2 linked regions of the Oreochromis niloticus genome follow. The protein of the gene in region 2 interacts with the protein of the main gene of each other region in a pairwise test. Links are inferred from orthologs where the notes say so. Each region holds a gene or a part of one and is shown on either strand. Other genes may lie near its edges.

The links. The genes of interacting proteins can lie anywhere in the genome.
Region 1: the proteins of drap1 (region 2) and nfyba interact in binary tests that used the Homo sapiens proteins (3 or more experiments, as listed by UniProt). The two-hybrid records come from large-scale screens. The link is inferred for Oreochromis niloticus from reciprocal best matches to the Homo sapiens genes DRAP1 and NFYB.

The regions. Positions count from the first base shown.
Region 1 is NC_031981.2:37,510,761-37,514,513, forward strand, and holds the start of nfyba (nuclear transcription factor Y, beta a), read left to right. Parts: upstream 1-1,120; 5' UTR 1,121-1,142; coding exon 1,143-1,253; intron 1,254-1,262; exon of another isoform or gene 1,263-1,413; intron 1,414-1,563; exon of another isoform or gene 1,564-2,866; intron 2,867-2,959; coding exon 2,960-3,053; intron 3,054-3,150; coding exon 3,151-3,281; intron 3,282-3,287; exon of another isoform or gene 3,288-3,753. UniProt on the Homo sapiens protein: Component of the sequence-specific heterotrimeric transcription factor (NF-Y) which specifically recognizes a 5'-CCAAT-3' box motif found in the promoters of its target genes.
Region 2 is NC_031967.2:4,881,826-4,885,578, reverse strand, and holds the start of drap1 (dr1-associated corepressor), read right to left. Parts: upstream 2,693-3,753; 5' UTR 2,545-2,692; coding exon 2,503-2,544; intron 1,913-2,502; coding exon 1,840-1,912; intron 1,635-1,839; coding exon 1,541-1,634; intron 409-1,540; coding exon 283-408; intron 1-282. Other genes in the region: lg3h11orf68 (UPF0696 protein C11orf68 homolog), read left to right, coding at 3,665-3,753. UniProt on the Homo sapiens protein: The association of the DR1/DRAP1 heterodimer with TBP results in a functional repression of both activated and basal transcription of class II genes.

The sequences.
Region 1 (3,753 bases), on a different chromosome or scaffold from region 2:
GTATTGCCAACTCCTCAGTAAGGAAAATCGCTATTGGCTGTCCTAAAAGTCGCTAGAAGTCGCTAAATGACGTCAACGCCTAATTTGCATAATTGGTCATGCTAATGTAATTGTAACCTGTTGGAGAGAGAAATAACATCGTGGAAGAGACATAAAGTCAGTATAAAACGTCCTAAATGCATTTAGAATTTATTTAGAACTACAAATTAAATTTCTTTTTGCAATTATTGTTTTTTAATGTCACAATTCCAACCCTGCTCCTTTATCCGGGCTTGGACCGGCAAAAGTGACCCGAAATCGGCACTCTGGTGGAGTTACTGTGTGTGTGTGTGTGTGTGTTTATAAGTAGTTTTAAAACTTGTGATCCACAAAACAGCATAACAGTAAAATAAGATCTGACTGCGTTACAGTCAGTGTGGGAGCAGCGGCTTCGCTCATGCACGATTCATTTGCAGTTTGGACGCATAGGTGTGAACATGTCCTGCCCTGATAGCAGCTGGGGGAGGACTATCCTCCGCCTGTGAGTGCTTTGGCACGGGTAAGGTGCCCACGGCAGCACCGCTGCTTGTTAACAGTAAGAGTGATACGCGCTTTCACGTCAAAAAGTCATCATAAATAAGTCTCCAATAACACCAGAAAAAGTCGCCAGATTTGTCGCTAGTCGCTTTTTAGAAAAAAAAGTCGCTAAGGGGGTCTGAAAACTCGCTAAATATAGCGACAAAGTCGCTAAGTTGGCAACACTGCGTAGACGTTGTCTGGATATCCACGCGCTACAAGATGCGTTAACTTGCTGCCGTAAATGTAGGAACTAATAAAACCGAAAGAAAATTACATTTTCTGTGATATTACATTATATCTAATGTGTACTTTATCTAACGATGTAAGAGTTTTCTACTTCGTTTATGTTACTTGGACATACATTTCGATAACAGTACCAACTACCATTCCTATGTAGATTTGGGCTTGTGCGGTACTGAAGGTCCTGAACGCAGCACGGGCCTCTACTGTTGAGATGGGGTAGTGCAGCCGCGGCTCCGCGCTGGGACTGGTCCTTTTGCAGCCATTTTCTGTCCAACCAAACAGCCGTCTCAGGAAGGTAACCAACCAGGGCTTCATTGCAGGTTTGTTCCTGGCTCCGGCCAATGATTGCTAACCGATTTCTCGTTAGCTCGAATGGAAATGTCCGTCTCTGTCTGATTTTTTTATTTGTTGTCTGGGTGAACGAGGGCTGCTCATCAGGAAGTATCCAGCGGGTGAAAGTTTAAAAATGACTACTAAACATTTCGGCCCCGGTCACGTCTTGCTATGCTGTGCACCACAAAGAACAGGCCAAGGCGGACGCGAATTGCGTTGGATTTGCAGTGAGAATGTATTCAAGGGACACTGTGTGCCTGAATAGGTTAACTACTGAAGGTAACAGCCCACTGGAAAGCTTCTCTTCATTACGTTAAAAGCACTGGTTTCCCCAATATTGGCGAGCCCACGGGCTAACTTCATCCCCGGGTTAACATTAGCTAACATTAGCTAAAAATGTCACAGCTGCGACTGATAACCGCTACTTACCACACGGTAGCCAAACACATGCCAGTGTATTTAGCATGTGGCTAACGTAAGCTGGCCTCACCGTTGGCTTACAGCTGTTTTACGTTTTCCCTTTCAGATAAATGCTAACAGTTCCAGTGGGTAGCTAGCTGTGTCATGCCAAGTTAAACATTTCTCAGTGTAAACACACAGGCCGATATAAAAGTGCGCACAGTATGAGGGAGCGCTGTTATTGTGGCATTCCTCGTTATACATGTCAGAAAATATGTCTGAGCACCAAAGTGCACTACTTAACCAAGCTAGCCGTTAGTAGAAACCCAGGTTGATGATAAACCCTCTAAAACAAGCATCAGGACACAATAGCAACAAACCCGCCAAGTCCGTCTGCTGGAAAACAAAAACACACGCATGTATCAGGATTCGGTGACAACACAAAACACGTTTGGCGCACTATTAACGGCTAGGTTATCTCCACCCAGTAAGAGCTACCGATATTTAGTGTACACCGAAATGTTGGATGACTTCGTATTACGCTATAAAAACATTGTGATGGCCTTCTCTCCCTGATAGATGCGATGTTATAATAAAGTAGCCTTTGCCTTTAGCTTACCAGTTGATTGAATAACTGAAGGACCTCGTTAATTCATACGTATTAAAAGGGAAAAAAAATTAAACTGTCCTAACCTGCAAAAAATTAAAGCTACTTTTAGCTGCCCCCTTATTTACAAAGAGTCGCTACAGTAACTGCATCTTTTACTTGGTATTATTTTTAATGCCCTTCCTGACACAACCCCAAAGGGATTTGTCTCCTTCTGGGATCGAACCGGGATCTTTCACTTGTTAGGTCAACCCTTGATGCACGTTTCGCTGTTGATCGCAGGGCTTGACATGTGGCCTAAAACATTAGGATAAAAATGCTCAAATCAGTCAACACTGATCATTGTCATGATCCATTTAAAAAAATTATTTCTTCAAACTTTAAAAGTTCTGTTTTCATTTAAACAACACCTTACCCTACTCGATACAACAGTGGTTCTGCTACTGTCAAACAAAAGATCAATAAATAAAATGGATGAATGGTTTGTTAACAGGTCATAGCTGCACTTTCTTTTGTGTTGGCCCATGTCAGACATCTCTAGGTCAGTCGGAGTGTTGGCGTCACAGTGTAGCTTCGGAGAAAAACAGCAAGCTGTCATTATTTATTCTGCTTCATAGCTCAGAGCATAGTAAAACAGCATGTGGTGGTCCCAAAGGAAAACATCTTCTCCTTCCTTGAGGAGCATGCTTGCAGGGACCCTTCTAAATAACTCAGATCATTCCTAAGGTGTGGCTCTAAGAAGCTGGCTACAGTCAGGCTTCACGGGTTTACTGTAGTGCTACAGATCCAAATAACTAAGCCAGCTGTGTGGTATTGCAGATGGACGGAGACAGCTCGACCACCGACGCCTCCCAGCTGGGCATCACTGGAGAGTACATGGCTTCCAGTCACTATGTTCTCCAGCCTCAGGAAGGTAAGGAAAAAACAAAGTGTCAGTAGAAAATCATCATCTTCACTGAAGTGCTTTTTGGCTTTGTTCTCATAGAGCTGACTCTGTGTGTGTTTTATAGATGATGGAGATGAGAATCTGAATGACCATGAAGACGGCAGCAGTAAGGAGAACTACAGGGAACAGGACATATATCTTCCCATTGCTAATGTGGCTCGCATCATGAAGAATGCTGTTCCTCAGACTGGAAAGGTTTGTGAGGGATGAAGGGAAGAGAAATGCATACGGCTGATGCTCTGCATTAGTTTTAGTTCTTTAAGATAGGTAACATGTGGGCTAAGGTAAAGCTGATCGCCTTGGTTATTTGAAAGGAAACGGAAACAATAACGGCTTCATACAGTATGTTATTCTAAGTGTTCGCATGGATGGATACATCAGGAAATTTGGGGGTCTTTATTTAGTTAGGGGACGTGAACAGGAGGATCTGGAGTTGAGCTCAAAGAGATTCTTAACCTCCTCAGTTTCACTTTCATCCTGGCCCCCTTTAAATAGCTTTCACTATTACAATAACTGAAAGCTTTGCCCAGCAAGAAGGGCTGTCTGCTGAGATATCTCACTCATGCTACTTTGAGAACCAGGGTTAGAGATAAGAGATCACTCTTTATTGTCATTGCACAGTCATACCTAGTACAATAGTGCTGTACAGGTCCTTCAGGGAGGGAAG
Region 2 (3,753 bases):
TTTACAGCAGTGCTCATTTCCAGAAGAGGAAAAGATAACGTGCACAGATTCTGTCTGTTCGTGCGAATCATTTTTAGTTTAAACCGATGTGCGTGTGTGCACTTATCAGAGCAGACTGAATTACAAACTGCTTAATGAAATAAGTCCAAATTATCTGCAGCTGGATTGGCTGCCTCATATCACCCTGGAGTGTTTTCACTGTGTATGTGAAATACTCCTTCGCTTTCAAAGCATCATGACTCTTTCTCTACATGTTTGGGTGTCTGTGTGAGCAAATATTACCTTCGTGGGACTTTCTCTCCTCCCCCCTCGGTGTGGTTCTCTTCCCCCTCTCCCTGCATGTCTGGCACCGCTGCAACAAGGTCTTTTAAAAAATCAAACTGCTGCTCCAGCTCAATGCATTGCTTTCTGTGAATAAATATGAACAGTTTTCTCCTCAGCCTTACTTGCCAAGTGAAATGTAAGCTCGTATCAAAAAGACAGCAAGCTTAATGGTGTACATACTCATTTTAGCAACACATACAGTCTGAGTCACAGGGAAAGATTGTTTTGGCGGGCTCTGTCTTACACAGGCCAGAAATACTTTCAGATACAAGGGATTCGGCAATGTGCTGCAAATGTGCTCCACAGCACTATCAGGCTCCCACCACACAGTAAATCATGCTGTGTAACAGGATGCCATTTTTTTTGCAAAAGCGGCTCATAATAATTTTCCTTACTTATTTATTTATTTATCTTTTTGCAATGTATAGGGCCAGTCCTTGTCAGTTCATCAAATGCTTTCTCACCTCACCATCTTACCTGAAAAAACATTCCAGGTGGAGGATACACATCCTAAATAGGAATCGTAGAAAGTTTCAGGTCCTGGCTGTTATTAGCTTTCTCAAAAATATTTCAAGGGATGATATTTCCAGGTTTTTAGACATTTTCCAATATCATTTTTGAGGGGCTATTTTAATATGACATTATCTACTTTAAAGTGTTTTAGGCAATTTTTTCTTAGGAAGATGAGAAAGAAAAAAAATTATGCTAGGGAATTATTCAAAAACACTCCTATTTTCAACATTTCACTGAGGATTATTTTCTTGAGTAAACTAATGACTGTGAAGACCTGAAATTTTGCACAATTCCCATTTTGTGAAATTTGATTGAATGAGATGAAAGAACTTTGTACTGTTAAAACTAATCAGAAGAAAACTGACTTAAAATAAGTGTATTGTGTATATTATGAATAATCGTTATTTTTAAATGTGAATCAAGCAAAGCTACTTTAGTAAAGTCCAAGAATGAAATTATCGAGCTGGAAGTTCACCATGAGTCCACTTTAAAAATAAAGAAAATAAAGGCCTGACAGCATTTCAGCCACACTCAATAAAAACAAATACAATTCTATATAAACAACTTTCCCCTTTTCTTCAACTACCTCTTTCTGACCCTAATATACCTGAACAGCATATATCTGAACAGCAGATGGCTTTGCCTTCCTAAGAAGTTCATCTCCAACACAATGCAACACAATGAAGACAAACACAGAACTTACAGATGTGCCGTTGTCATTGTCTTTGCATTCCTAGATTGGGTGACTTGACAAGCCTTTGTAAGCAACGACTCCAAAAAAAGCTCCAGGGCTCTCGCTGATATCTTGGATAAGGGAAGTACAGTGAAGCAGTTGTGTGTTTGAACTTTAAAATCATCAAACATGCAATAATAGACAACTTGACACAACAACACAACAGACTGAGGAAGCATTTTTCTCTAATTATTAATCAGTCTTTGACTTTTACAATTTATCATTCAAGACAAAACTTGCACAGTGACGACTGCAGGCAGAAAGGATACATATAATAACAGGCACTGCTGCAGCCACTTTGCCTATTTCTTCATCTGTCTGCATAATCTTCTTAATCCTTGCCTGAAATGAGAAAAGGTCGATTTTTATGCATGTGTCTACAGAAACGCTTAAAATTTTCTTTTCCTTAAAAAAAAAATCATTTTCAGTGAAAACGCACTGAAATTCAGGGACAACTTAGTAAAGAGTTTGCAGTACACCACATCGAATAATGTGAGGTCCCCACAAAGTAACGGCAATCATTCCTTTTACACTAGTCACGTAGTGTGAGGATTGTAGATACATTATGCAGCTTATTATAATAAAGAATGGATTTATTCACATTTATTTGCGTGCCGCTTAGCCTAGCTTGAGATGCTAAAAACAACGTCAATTAGTAGACCAACTTAAATAGCACGCCTGCTATGTGTGTACACCACCAACTAATGACATATAGGGGATGTTTGGTCACTAACTTCATGAAATCAACTACTTTTCACTAAGGCACGTGCTTTGTAAACTAAATGGTTTGCGAGTGTTAGATGGCTTGTCTGCTCTCTAAGCAACAAAAGAGGCCGAATTCCACTTAAGCTAGTTACAGAACTTAGCTTTCCATGTTACACTTTGCTAACGTTAGCTTGCTTTGACACCGGCTCAGCACAGTTTAAACTTACCGGAGGAAATCTGGCGTTGTATTTCTTCTTTTTGCTGGGCATAATTAAATTACCTGGGTGGCTAAACTAAACTAAAATACAATATATGCTATATTCGTATTCTATTTCATACAGAAATTCGCCTCCACCGCGCACACACCAGATAGTGGTGGCTATCCGGCTAACTAGTTAGCACGTCGTCTTCGTCACTCGTTCCTCGGTGCGGTCAGTTTGTTTCCGCAGGGTCTCCGTGCCGTCAGGTTGGAGCGCATGTTGTTCCGCAAATGCAAAGAAACGAAATACTTTAACGATAGTAATGGAACAGGTTTATTTTTTAAAGCTTAACAAACACAAACACTGATGTAGGAAACTTACATATTTAACATGTACACATACCGAGGAACATGCAAGTTTCTTAAAAGTCGCTGAATCTAGTACAACATAACTTATTTTTATAATTATGTTATAGCAAAACGTAAAAATATATATTTATATCATGTGTTCCATACGGTCGAATTTGTGGACGAGGTACGAAATTTAATTGATGTATAAATAATTATTAGTTAAACTGTCAGCCACCTGAGTGGACTTTGGCTCTTAGATACGGAGGAGCTGCTGTGCTTATGCGGAAGATCAACACTGAACAACAAACTTGGACATCTACGGGTAGAGTAAGCCTTTATGTTCAAAGTTTAACATCGACGTGCGATTATTTACGTTTTAAATGGGAAAACTGTGAATGTTAAAGCGTCAGTTGTATTCAACAGCTGGCTAGAAATGGTTAATGTTTCTCTAAAAGGACGAGCGTGTACATTTATAAAGACTAGCTTGTCGGCTAGCTACAACAAGGCTAAAGCAGTCAGAAAGCTGTTCTACGTGTTCTTTGACATGTCAGCTGTAGGCGGTACACTGGGGTCGATAGCAGCTTTAGTGTGAAACAGAATCAGTGGTAGAGAAACGCTAACTTTCGCTGTTGTAGCAGGCTAGCTATTAGCATTCATAAGCAATTCAGTTGTCCACTTCTGTCGAAGTTTGGCAGGGTTGTAAGCTAATAAATCACAGCAAAGGGGTTGTAAGCTAACACAGAGGCTAAACCAGTGGTTTTTATAAAAATAATAACTGCATTCTTCAACTCAACAGGAAGGCTTCAGAACTTGTTTACTCGTGTAACTGCTATACCATTATGGAGGAAGAAGAGGGCCCTGTTGATGGCGAGATGAGGACCCCCTTTGCTGCAGAGACCTACGCTGCTGAAGCCATGGCTGCAGACAT